2 linked regions of the Arabidopsis thaliana genome follow. The protein of the gene in region 1 interacts with the protein of each later gene in a pairwise test. Each region holds a gene or a part of one and is shown on either strand. Other genes may lie near its edges.

What was found.
Region 2: the proteins of AT1G66760 (region 1) and AT1G76185 interact in a protein complementation assay, tested with the Arabidopsis thaliana proteins (one large-scale study listed by BioGRID).

The regions. Positions count from the first base shown.
Region 1 is NC_003070.9:24,898,246-24,906,938, reverse strand, and holds AT1G66760 (MATE efflux family protein), read right to left. Parts: upstream 5,058-8,693; 5' UTR 4,830-5,057; coding exon 4,581-4,829; exon of another isoform or gene 4,503-4,580; coding exon 3,958-4,502; intron 3,762-3,957; coding exon 3,675-3,761; intron 3,589-3,674; coding exon 3,532-3,588; intron 3,439-3,531; coding exon 3,200-3,438; coding exon of another isoform or gene 3,195-3,199; exon of another isoform or gene 3,109-3,194; coding exon 2,903-3,108; coding exon of another isoform or gene 2,885-2,902; exon of another isoform or gene 2,792-2,884; coding exon 2,726-2,791; 3' UTR 2,496-2,725; downstream 1-2,495. Other genes in the region: SWEET6 (Nodulin MtN3 family protein), read left to right, coding at 1-488.
Region 2 is NC_003070.9:28,588,523-28,594,007, forward strand, and holds AT1G76185 (NADH-ubiquinone oxidoreductase chain), read left to right. Parts: upstream 1-1,802; 5' UTR 1,803-1,974; coding exon 1,975-2,087; intron 2,088-2,427; coding exon 2,428-2,635; 3' UTR 2,636-3,009; downstream 3,010-5,485. Other genes in the region: AT1G76190 (SAUR-like auxin-responsive protein family), read left to right, coding at 3,703-4,074; AT1G76200 (NADH dehydrogenase ubiquinone 1 beta subcomplex subunit), read left to right, coding at 4,829-4,935, 5,252-5,297, 5,402-5,458.

The DNA of each region.
Region 1 (8,693 bases):
AACATCGGTTGGTAATATCCGCTGTTTTAACCGTTCAAGTTGTGTTTGTGGCTACCCTTGCGGTTTTGGTCTTAACTCTCGAACACACTACCGATCAACGGACGATAAGCGTTGGGATTGTATCTTGCGTTTTCAACGCTATGATGTATGCTTCTCCATTGTCTGTCATGAAAATGGTAATAAAAACAAAAAGTTTGGAGTTCATGCCGTTTTTGTTATCGGTAGTTGGTTTTCTAAACGCAGGTGTTTGGACAATTTATGGCTTTGTGCCTTTTGATCCATTCCTGGCTATACCAAATGGGATTGGGTGTGTTTTTGGACTAGTACAGTTAATATTGTATGGTACCTACTACAAATCTACCAAAGGGATAATGGAGGAAAGGAAGAACCGACTCGGTTACGTTGGTGAAGTCGGATTATCCAATGCGATCGCTCAAACTGAACCCGAGAACATCCCATATTTAAACAAAAGAGTTAGCGGCGTTTGATTTGGTCTTTTCATGTTATTCACTGTAAGTTTATTATATAATCATCTAGGATTTTTTTTATATTTTTAGGACTGTAATATGCGAATAAGTCAAATTTCGTTGTCCATAGTTCTCAGAAGCCGTAGACTCTTTTAAAAATATGACTTCTCTCTTTGGTCATTTTTTTTTGTTTGAGGACCATTTCTTCAAGAGTGAAAATTGAGAAAAAGTCGTTGATGTTTCTTGAACAAATTCACTAAAAATGCAACTAATGTTAACCCATAGTTTGTACTTATTCTTCAATTAATCAATGAGTCATTTATCCAAAATTTATCAACAAGAATTCTCTCCCTAGACTTGATTGCCTGAAAAGTTTCCCAAATAAATAGAAACAAATATTAACTCGATTTCCCTAGAACCGAGTAAAGGATTAGAAACAGATACAAACTTGGTTTGATCAGCTCTTTGGTCCAAATATTTTGGTGAATTTCATAACAAGAATTAGGATTAGGGCTTGTAGTGTTGAACATGAGACTAAATCAGCCCATAGCCCATTCCCATTAAAGTGTAAGTGGAAAGATGAAAAAAACAAAAGTAGTCCAATAGGGAATACCACTGAAATAATAAGAAGTTTTGTTCACATAAGCTCCAATTTTCTCACACTACCTAAACACAATGAGGCATATTGTTCATGGCCAAGAAAATTAAAAACATGGCTCCTAAACCGGAGAGGATGGTTAAGAAAGGCTACCGGAGAGTGCAGTCAAGAAGCTCTCCATAAGGATTGAGAAGTTAAATATAAAAAGTTCAGATTGAGAGAAGCAAATACAAAATGAATCTAAGTAAAGAAAATTTAGTCCCAAGCCCATCTAATGACCCAACCTAACCCACCCGTCCAAGCATCAAGAGAATTAGCTCCTTCCCCTACTTACACAAATATGGTGACACAAGGCCACAAGCCTTTTGAAAAAAGAAAAAGCAAAAAAAAAATAAAGAAGGCCACAAGCCTTGGACATGAAACCTTCACCTTATATACTAGCAGATTTTTTTCTCCAACTTCCAATATGTACAAAAACCACTTTATCCATTTTGTGTATTTCATATACCCAACTTTGGATATCCATTTCTCACTCAGAAACAAACCTCAAATTTTACGTTTGAGTATACACTACAATCTACAAACTACAAAGATAGTGCTTGTAGATTAGATGAATCCAACGTTCTCAATGTAGTTTCGAGTGACAAATTTGCCGAAAATTAGTTTTCGGAAAAATGTCCAACGTAACATCCCAAAATTTAAGTTTCAATACCAAGTTGGGTTTATTGCTAGTTTTAGAATGAGGTTCAATTGAAATATAATTGAAAACCCCTCCTCTTGAGCAGGCGTATCAGGAATCCAACATTAAAAGTGTGATGTAACCGAGAACGTAATATAAAAATGATATGGGTCAATCTATTTATTGTTAGGAGTTCCATGACAAGACTCTTACGTTCATGAAATCAATATCTTGATGCAAAACTGAACTTGAACATGGACTGAAGCGAGGCTAGATTCATTTAACAAGACTCTCACGTTCGTGAAACCAATTTACTGGTGCAAAACTGGACTTGAACATGGACTGATGCGCGGCTGGATTCATTTGACAAGACTCTTACGTCCATGAAACCAATATACTATATTGGTGCAAAACTGGACTTGAACATGGACTTCTGCGAGGCTGGATTCACCTCATTGTATAACTGATTTTGCAAGTCCATACATTTTTGTTTCTTGGATTGATGTTGATTTAATTTAACTTTTTGTTAATCTTCAATATTATGTATGACGTGTCGTTGCTTCCACGTGTTTTCTGCCATAACAATTACCTACTCACCTTGACTCTTATGAGCATCTCTTGTCGGAGAAAGTATTCAAATTTGCTTTTTGACTTCTTTAATTCTTTGAGTATATCCTTTCAAGATACTCTCTCTTTGGTTCATTATTTGTTTTTTGGCCACGTAAAGTTGTATTATAGACTTTATAGTATAGAAGTTTTAAGCTTGAACCAATCAACTTTGGTCACTCTTTAATTCATCTATTATATACCAGATCATTTTTTAACTGAGATATATTTTCAAACTTTCTTACACTCTAATATCATATGAAAGACTATAATGTACTTTCAATATAAATTACAATCAACTGAAGGTTATTGCACAAACACACACAAAAAAAGAAGCAATCAAAATCCCCCAAAAGTTTGTATTTCTTTTTTTCTTCAATTAAGCAATGAGTCATGTCTCCAAACTTTCTCATCACCAATTCTCTCCCTAGCCTTAATTGCCTGCAAAATTTCATTGAAGAAAAAATGTGTAAACAAATATTAGCTCGATTTCTCGAAAAATCGAATGATGGATTAGAAACAGAAAAAAGCGAGTTACGCGGTTACAATCACCTCTTTGCTCCAATTGGTAAATCCAATAACAAGAAATAGGATTAGAGTTTGTAATGTTGATCCTGTGACTAAACCAGCCCAAAGTCCTTTCCCATTGAAGTGAAGATGAAAACACAATAGAAGTCCAACAGGAATACCAATGACATAATAAGAGGTTATGTTCACATAAGCTCCAATTTTTTGCCACCCTGTTCCTCTCACAATCCCTAAACAAAACAAAACATATATTCGGTTCACGTTCACAAAAAAATAATAACATGGTTGCAAAACCGGAGATGCGTGTTAAGAAAGGCTAACCGGAGAGGACGGTCAAGAAGCTGTCCATGAGGATTGAGATACAAAGAATAGGAGTGATATCAGTCACATAACTAATTACTTCCTCCACATTGCTATATGCATAAGGCCACACACTGCGAGACAAGAACAGACTAGAGCTCACAATAACTGACTCAACAGCTGCAATTATGATTGCAGCCGCAGCAGAATCACGAGCCCCTCGCGGATTCCCAGCTCCTAGCTCATTAGCCACATTGGTGCTAACCAACGAAACAAAAAAAAATGAAACATTAATTCTTCGAAAATAAAATGAAGTGAAAATTCGATGTAAGAGTATTAAAGTAAGAACAAACCTTGCTGCATCACCAATTCCATTTACTAGATTGTAATGCAATGAAGAGGTCGTGAGGCTGCTCAATCCCAAAAATTAAGGCTTAGAAAATGAAAGAAAATATAAGTATCACAGATTATATAGTTTTGCGGTTCGATACATTACCAAATCGAAATAACCGATGTTTCGAGCTTTGAGTTGGGTAGAAGACCAGACAGCAAAGTAATGACCTCGAAAGCTAACCACTCAAGGCTATTGAAGGAAGCAAGAGCAATAAGAAAATAAGTGTCAATAGAATATTAGTGAAGGGAAAAAAAATCCATTACACATTTATTTATGTAACCTAAGATTTTAAATCTTTCACCTATCCACAAAACAATGACCACCACTAGACTACCATCACTTGGTTAATTCTATATGGATTTTTAATAAAGTTGTACATACTTACCAACACATCATTGCAGAAGGAATGGCAAATTGAAAGAAGATATTTGTATGAACAAAAACATCCTTGGACATATAAATCCGCGTTTCGACACAACGACTAGAGCGTTTCATATAAACCCAAAGAAAAACCGCGTTGAGCCAGTAAGAGATACCGATAGACGCAGCCGCTCCTTTGGCTCCAAAATCAAATTTATGAACCATTAGCCAACAGAGAGGAACATGGAAAGACAGAGCAGCTAGAGAGCTCAAGACCATTGGATAAATCAAGCTTTGTGACTGAAAATATCGAACCAACGACTCGAGAACAGAGTAACCGAATAAAGCTGGTACCAGCCAGAGACAGTACACACCAGCTAACTCTGCTATTTGAGGATCTTGATGAAGCAACAGCAAGATCTGGTTCATGAACATCCAAAGAATCGAAATCGGAACAGAGATAATCAAAAGGAAAACTATTGAAGTGAAAGTGTAAGATCCAAGCTTGTGATATTGTTTTGCTCCATATGCTTGACCACATAGTGTTTCCAATGAACCTGAAAGTCCAAACTATATAGTATACAACAATAATTAGAAACAAATTAATCCAATACATATATATATATAAAGGTTCATATACTTGCTTACAAGAACACCAAAGCCGGTAACATTAGCAAAGGAGCTTCCTAGAGCGATTCCGGCGAGAGCGAGTTCGCTCCGGTGACCGACGATCATTGTAGAAGTTGCTTGAAGAAGGTATTGAGACATGTTCACGGCGACCATTGGAGCAGCCATTGAAGCAACTTTCTTCATCTTCTCCCATCTTATTTTTTCTTTATCTTCGTCTTGTGATTGTTTGGTGTTCAACAATAACGGAGTTTCGATACTCTTCTTCATTTTTTTTTTCTTTCTGGTTAGAGAAAATGTTGGAAGTTGTGTCGTATTTATTTAGCTTTATGATTTTGATATAATAAAATTTGTATTTTGATAAATAATATATGCGACGTCGCGACTCGAAGAAAAGAAAATAAACACGTTTCCGCTTCCGCGTATAAAAGCGAAATCGTTTTCGACTTTTATCATCTCACTCATTTAAGTCAAAAGATAGAATTCAGCACGTGTAAGAAGAAGATGCATCCTAACTAGTAACTAATAATTGGTTCCTATTTGTAGTTTGTACTTAAAAGATTTTAGTTGTGGAGTCTTTTTTTTTTTTTATGCCAGAGAAATTAATTAGACAACATAAAGTTTGTTTTGGTTGTATAGCCTTAAAAAGAAAAGTAAAACATGAATGGTTCAGTTTTAAGGCTTTGTGAGTTGTTGAAACTTTTTAGAACCTTTTACCAATCAAATACATTTGTGGTTAAAACTTAAAAATCATGTCGGTTCTTGAAAAAGGCAAGAGTGGTATTAACAATATTTTTGATTAGCATGAGATAGAACTGGAACACAGAACAATATAATACCTTAAGAGTATCAAACAGATATGAAAACTGAATTAGAATCGGTGTTTCCTCTTCAAGCCTTTACTAGTTGCTTCGCTTTGTGTTTCTTATCGTGTTATCTCTTGTATTCGTAGTTCCTTTAGTCGTAGTCTTTCTCCCTTTTTTTTTTTTTTTTTTTTTTTTTGCTTCTATTGTTTACTCTGTATTCTGTCTCAAACTTGAAAACGGTATAAATACTTAACATCGATACCAAAAAAAAAAAAAAAACTGAATTAGAAGATTTTTAAATGTATAGAACCACATACTGATCATCAGTTATTATTTAATTAGTCATAAAATGAGATATACATTTCTAAAGAATAAGGAATAAAAGTCTCTCTTCGTATTGATTGCATTGGCTCAAATCGATAAACATCGGTCCATGATCAATATTTTTAATATCATATCATTTATTTAAGTATTGAACCTAAGATGGCTTTCAGTGGTTACCATCTTACAATAGATTTTTTTTGTCAGCGTTAAACCACTTATGAGAAAAAAAATGTATAATATATGTAGTAATAGCTAGTTTTCAAAAGAACAACAAGATAAATTGTTATTTTGTCAATAGATGATATATGAAAAAGACTACTCATGACAGCGTGATTTATGTAAATTGTGTAACATAACTATAGATTAATTTAATATTTTATAATTATTTATATTATATGATATTTTTATGAATGGTTGAATTTTTTTAAAAATGGATATTTCTTAATCTGCATATTTAACTAAAACCTCTTATATTTTGAAACATAAAGAATACTCCTAGACTAGACATGCTGAGGCCTGAGAGGACAAATGAAACTAAACACATGTTTCAATACTGACCGACAGAAAGAAAAAAATAAATAAATGAAAAGAATAATAATAAAACACATGTTTCAACTTTAAATACATATCTCGATGAACCTAACCTAATCCACATCTCCATGTTAATTCATTGACAAAAACTCCAATCCATGATAATACTCCAATAACATAAAGTTTTAGTTTTCAAAATCATTGTTAAAAAGTACTATCGACTTTATATACTCCACAACATAAATTTGAAATTAGTCAGACTAAACCGCCAAAGTTAAGATTTTGTTTGTGTTTCTAAACAAACAAATTTTGCTCTACTTGATATCAATAATAAATCCGTCTCTTAATGACATTTTTTTTTACTATTTCGTTAACAAAATAGATGTAACTTAACTACTGATTACTAGTATTATTTTTGATTCAATATATCATACATACTTTTTACGTTTTAGTATAAATGTCATTTACAGGTTCTTCACATATAGTAAAAAAACAATTAGATTTTTTTGTCTATCGCTTATTAATATATTATACAATTTTTTATAATTGGTCAATACATTAAAATTGAATATTTACCAAATATCTACACTAAAAATAATAACAATACTTATTTTGAAATAAAATTTTAACACTAAAACGACACTTATTGTGAAAAGAAAGAAATGTATAACTTATAAAGTTAAAAGTTATAACCGAGAATATATGTATTCACAATGTCATTTACAGGTTCTTCACATATAGTAAAAACATTTTTTTTGTTTATCTCTTATTAATATATTATACAACTTTTTTTTATTGGTCAATACATTAAAATAGTAAGAATAGAATTGCAATTTCACCAAATACTGTAACTACATTCAAAATATAAAACAATACCTATTTTGATACAAACTTGTAAGAATTAAACCACACTTATTGTGAAACTAAATAAAAGTATAACTTATAAAGTTAAAAGTTATAACCGAGAATATGTATTCACAATCCGTGATATCCAATTGAGAGTAGTCCAGTCAAGAACTGCATTATACACACTGAAAAAGAGGAAGCCATTTTCTTACTTATCCTCGTCGAAGTTATCAAAAATAAATAAAGAAACAGAAGTTGTTGAGAAAAGTATTAATAATCGGTTCTGACTTCTGACATCGTGTGTTGGAAGAAATAATTAATACTTACACAGAGCATTTTGATAGTTTCAACTTTCTTTTTTACTTATGTTAAACTAACTCTAATCACATGTATTATGTATACAAATTCATATTTACGTTCACTTGGTTTAAAAAAGCACTCCACATACTTCATGCATCTTGATAATCCAACTATCTCTTTGTTTTTTTCCTTTGACATGGAATAACTTTATCAATCTAATCGATGAAAGAGATCCGATTGGTGAAGTTGAGATCTATCGCAAAAGAGTTGTTTCCGCGAAGAATAGTGAAGTCGATGATGGCATACCTCTCGGCCACACTATAAGCAACCTTTGAACAGTAGTTACTAGAGATTTGGTGATTGCATGCTTCAAATCAAATTAAAGGTGTTGTCAAAACTTTCTAACTACTCGAAGTTTCATAGGTAACGTTGTATTATTGCGGTACACCATGTTATCTCATGGGTAATTGCTTAGTGAGACTCTTAAAGTAATAATAAAAAAAAAAATTGGTACGGAGATATGGTACTAATAAGCAATTTCATGAGAAAATGTACAAAAACAAATAGTTTTACACTAACCAAAACCGAACCCGGATTTCTTTTGGTTAATTTAGGTAACCCTCTAGAAATACTTTGGTTAACCGAATTGGCTTCTTAGATAGAGCCAACCTTGGTATTTAATGCACGTTCATTTTATTGTTGACAGAGAAAGCTTTCAACAAATTGTCGGAAAAAATTGAATTCTCGTATTAATACCTAAGATCAGAGAAAAATGTTACAATCGTTTTTGGCTTCACACATTATATACATGGATAATATCGCCGCGTCACTGCCTCAACTACTTAGCCAAGTGGCATAATTGCTGCCTCCAATTCCAATTTGTTAGCCCTCATCTGAGTGAGGTCGTTTTGCAGTGGGGTAACCACAAAGGTCATTTTTTTAATACTCTTTTCTTCTAAATTCAAAGTTTAACTCGTGTCTCTCATGGGCCGGTCACGGTCTATGTCCAAAGTCCAAACTGTGAGTTCCTGATCGTAAGAGTGAGTCAAAAGAATCATAACTTCAAAAACCAAACCGCACCAAATAGAGATTGTTTAGTACTTCATCGGCTTGAAAAAATATCATTTTGACACATTTCATACAAATTAAAAAAAATATATATATATACATGAGTCCATATTTAATAAGTGATTAGTTTTAGAAGTCTTTATGAACAAATATAAAATTATAGAAAAACATTCTTTATGAAACCGAAAGAGTAAGTATTTGTAGTAATGCCAATTGTTTTGGAATTTATTTTTTTAGTGGGCCAATGAAATATGTATGG
Region 2 (5,485 bases), 3.7 Mb from region 1:
ACGACGGAGCTCATAGTCAGAAATGGAACGTCGGATGTAGACAAAGAAAAGAGTCAGAGAGAAATTTAGATTAATCAATTACATCTTAAAACGTGTCAATATAACATGGGAAGTTGTCCTTTTGTAGGACCCAATAGTATGTACTGATTGGCGTAAAAGACGTGATGTCGGTTACGTGGGTCCACTTGACTTATTGACTAGTGCCACGCTGGAACAAGCTTGTTCGAGAAGAAATGATGATTTTTTAGAAATTTATAACGTTCCTTATTTTTTCTTTCTTCTATTCTATGCGTTACAAAATACAAACAAACCAATAAGAACTTGGTTATTTAATTCTTATCACGCTATGAATCCTCAACGATTAGGTGTTATTTTAACTTATTATTCACTAAACATGTTGAAGAGGCCAATCTAGTAACGCATGATCTTTGAAATTGTAAATACATGATCTTGGATACTCTAAACAAAAAAAAAAACAAATCCAACAAGTAATATAAGTCCGATTGGCTCAATCGATTAGGAAGGTGTTGTTGCAATGCTACCGGATCTCATTTTTAGTCCTAATGCTACAATAAGACGGGTAATTTGCGCTTGTGAATCCGCCAAAAGTATTATCAAAGAAATGATCGTGGACATAAACAAACTAAAACTAAAGATTTAGATTTTAGAACGAATAGAAAGTTAGCATCATCTTTTGTTTACCATTTTTGGGGCACATAAAACAATCTTTCGTAATCTCGTTTATGGGAAAAGGGTTTGTGTATGTATTTTTTCAACGTAAATGGTTATGTTTTCATGCAGTTTTTAAAGATAAACTTAGATGTAGATAATGAAATCATGAGTAGACAAATGAGCATAAGATGACTTGGATTTCTTATGAATTAATATGTTAATGTGTGGGATGTCATTTTCGACCTATTGAAAAAGATATACTAAAAATATTAATGAAGGACAGATGGTAATCGGTAAATGCATCATCTCTTAAAATTCGCCTAAAATAAAAAAAATGAACCGACGTGCCACATCAGTAATCTCTGGTCTCTAAATTTAACAAAGACGTAGCACGAACCGTGACGTATCAACACACATATCAAACAAACCTATCTTTTTCAATACTAACTTATTCGTCTTTTTGGTTCTTGTTGTCATATACACCGAAGCTCAGCTCTTAACTTATTCTTTGGATAATGTTTTCGGTGATAGCGAACCGACAAATTGTAGCCGACACTTAGAATTCACAACTAAACTATAGATTTTAAAATAATATTAATTAATTCGAAAGTTTGAGATATCTGAACAAAGTTTTCTGAAAAACGTAGAATACATATGGATCAAATACTATAATTCGAAAGTTTCAGATTAGTGCTAAGTAATGAACGTCATGCGTTTGTTCTTCTGTCGATTTCTTCTTTTTCACCGCCCGTCTGAGTTTTATGGGCGTGATATTTTCCTTATTGTGGTCAAATCAGGAATATTCAACAATATTTAGCACTCGCTTTACTTGGTGGGACATGAGAATCAATCGATGCATCGCTGTTTTATTTCTTTTTCTTTGATGTTTCTATTTCTGTTAGAACAAAGTTTTCATGATTCTTAAAAGCCCAAATTTCATGGCATCGGAACAAAGTTTTCATATATGATGACAACTCAAAACAAAAGAGTAACGGTAAAAGCCCAATACCCATAAAATGGGCTTAAGAATCCAGATCGGATCTATAACCCGACCCGGTTGTTGACACCGAGAGAGTCCACGCAACGTTCGCCGAATTCCTAACGAATCGGACACCGTTTCGTCGCTGTAAAATTTTGATGCGAAATTTTCCAATTCACAGATTTTGTTTTTCCATTGTTTTGGATTTCTAGATTCTAGTTATATGTTGGTGATAGATTTTTCCTACATCTCGTGATTCTCAAACGCTTCTTGAGCTCTTCGTCGAATCGGGACTGTGATCGGGACTTGGTGGAGAAGAAGCGATGATAACAAGATCGAATCTAGCAGAACAGCTCAGGGAATATCAGATTAGATCAAAGCATGATTGGGCCTCCGTTTCTTTCTTCTCTTCCACCTCCAATTTCTCTTCCTCCAGGTTAGAGATCTCCGGCTTATCCTTTCCTTTTTAATCTGCTGTGATTTGGAGCTGCGTGCTTAGAGTTGTATTTGAAAAATTGTACTTTGTGATATTTAATTCAATTGGAACCGTAAATTTCTCATCTTTTAAGGGATTGTCGTTGAACATTGGATATCTATGTGAATCCTACACAAGGAACTATAATTTTGACTTGTCCACGTTGAACCATCTTTGACAATTTGACATACACTTTTCATTCTTATCGACTCTGTTGCAATCTGGATTCTATTGTTAAATTTTGACAATGAACATTCTATAGTGGTACTTATGCTATTCGTTTCGTTTGCTTTTGATTCAGGGTTGATGTTGTAGTCTTTGTCATATGGGAACTAGTGATGTTAGCACTCGTGGTGTTTTCAGCTGTATCCTTGTACTTCAGGCGGTTGCAACTTGCTTTTATCCTGCTTTGTGTCACCTTACTATTACTCCTCTGTATGAAAATCACAAAGCAAGTGAGACATGCTAGGAAGAAGAAGCGAAGGATGCTTCTTCCTCTCTCTATGTAAAGACCGAAACCATTGAGCTGTTGCGAACCGTTTATCTTCTCACACAACCAAACCACAACTCTTCTCTGGCATGAGTTTTGTGCCCATATGCATTGATGAAGATGACAGCTAAGCTCAGACTGACTCTGGGACGCATCGCTTTTGTCCTTTGAAGAATCGACCTGAACTTGAGATATGAAACCAGGGACTGCAATTTCAAGGCTTAGCTTAGACAAATCAGAACAAAAGTGCTGTAAAGGTTGTTTTCCTGTATAAAGTAGTATGGGAGGTTGCTTTATTTTTCCTAGGCACGATCACGGATTGTTAACTTGAGCGTTTTGTGATTAAAGATAGTTTTTCCATCTATCTATGTTACACTTAATATCATGATGAAGTGATTTAGATTTGTTGGCTGTAAAAAGTTTTTAAAAAATGATTTGCAGGATTTTCATGTGACGAGAAAAAGAAAAACAACGAACACTCATGAAAGTAGAAGAGAGAACTATAAAATGAAAAGTAGCAAGCAACTTGCTCGAAACGCTCACATGTTTCTATCATTACCTTTGCGCTCTGCAACTACTTTAGTATCTTGTTAAAGAAAAAGTGGTAATAGTTAGTATTATTTGTAATGTTATGGTCTGTCAATACACTAGCTTAGCTTGATTTGATTAACTTAATTTCCAAATAATGAGATACTGTCTACATGGTGATATAGCTTTGTCAAAGTTCATTAATGACAATGACAAAAACAAGTGTGTTAGTAACCAAGATAATTGCATTTAGTCGTAATTCATGTTTTGAAACGGAAATAATTAGAAAGATCGAAAATCTCTAGATATTTGTAGAAGGTCAGTACATAACTCCACGAGTGGTCGTGATCCAATTTGTGGACAAATTTGAAAAGCAACTAAAAACAATCAAATAAGCACGAACATCCTTTTCCCTCCACACACATCAAAATCCACAGTTTGGTCCATATATTGCTATATATATAGAGAAGCAGTTAGGCATTTAATTAAGGTTGCATACAGACAGATACATACGCAACGAAACTATCAAAGCCGAAGTAACACACACACAAAAATCATATGAAGAAACTAAATTCTAAAGGGATTAGACTCTCCGAATTGATGGAGAAATGGAGAAGAAGGAAGAAAGGGCACTTCGCTGTGTACACGAACGAAGGGAAGAGATTCGTTTTACCATTGGATTATCTGAATCATCCGATGTTACAGGTGCTATTGCAAATGGCTGAGGATGAGTTTGGGACTACCATTGATGGTCCTTTAAAAGTTCCTTGCGATGGAAGTTTAATGGATCACATCATCATGCTTGTGAGAAGGAGCATGTCCCATGATTATGATGATGTGGAGAAGTCTTCCACGAGCAGCACCTGCAAGGGAGCTTCAATCTCTTCTCTCTTTCGTGGACAGAGCCAGCTTCAGTCATTAGTTTCCTAACCATTTGGAGTAATTGTTAACTTTTTTTGGAGAAGGGTTGTTCTATTTTGTGTATACCAACATGATCTTGTAATAAATTAATTATTGTAATGTATCAATGATACAGTATCATCATTTGATTTTGAGTCTTTTTTTGACGGTTAAAACAACGATTTGGGACGAAGTTATAGGCCCTGAATGGATGCTGATTTTGGATTCAGTTTTTGAATTTAGATTTTAGTTTATAGATTTTAGATTTTAGTTTCAGATTTTTATTATTATATTTTTGTTTCAAAAACCCCAAAAAATTGGTTTTTGGTTTTTGAGAAAAATAACGTTGATTGAGTAAAAACTAGATTTCCTAAATTTTAGGAGAACTAAAAAACTAAAATCATGAATGGAAAACTACAAGAAAATAATTTTTCTAAATTGTAGGGAAACCAAAATTTTAAAATCTTGATTGGTATGAAAATAAGTTTTTGGAAAACAAAAACCAAAAACTCTTACAAAATCTACAAAACATTCAATTCATGTATCCAAACTTCTTAAAGGGCCCAAAAAGGAAGAAAACATTGTGAAAGAAACAGATATAGAAATGGGCCTTTGGTCTTTAAATTGGGCCTAAGCCTTTTAATTGAGGCCTTACTAAAAGTGACGACTCACATGGTTGAATCAAATCTCAGGTAGTAAATTGTCAAAGCTGAGGAGAAAGAAAGCTTTTTCGGTCTGAAATTGAAGTGCGAATCGGGGAATCTAGGGTTTCGAGAGAGAGATAATGGGTGGAGGAGGACATGGCGGAGGTATAACTTACAAGGGAGTCACTGTCCACACTCCCAAGACTTGGCACACCGTCACCGGAAAAGGCTTGTGCGCCGTTATGTGGTACATTTCTGATTTCTCTCTTTCACCTAATTCGCTTTTGATTTTGGGACCTAGCTAATCTCGATCGTAGCTAGATCTCGCCATGGGGATTTTGGGCTAATTGATCATCTGAGGAATTTTGTATATAGAATCCATTTGAATCAAAAAATTGGATTTGTCAAATTAGTATCGGAGCTAATCAGGTAGATGTTAATTTGAATCAGATATTGCTTATGTCAATTTCAGTTCGATGAGAATGGTTGAAGAAGTAATCGCACATAGGTTTTAACTTTCCCTAGCATTCACATCTTAAAAACTCAATTTTTGGTATTTTCAGGTTCTGGATTCTGTACAGGGCAAAGCAAGATGGTCCTGTAGTTATGGTAAAACTCTTTCATTTTTTATCTTTGTCTCGCTTTTGTAAATTTTATTGGTCCTAATATCTTTCGTGGTGGCTGAATCTGATCTTGCTATTGGCAATGGATAGGGATGGAGGCACCCTTGGGATGGTCATGGTGATCACGGTCACGGAGATCATCACTAGGTAATGTCTTTACTAGTAGTATTGTCG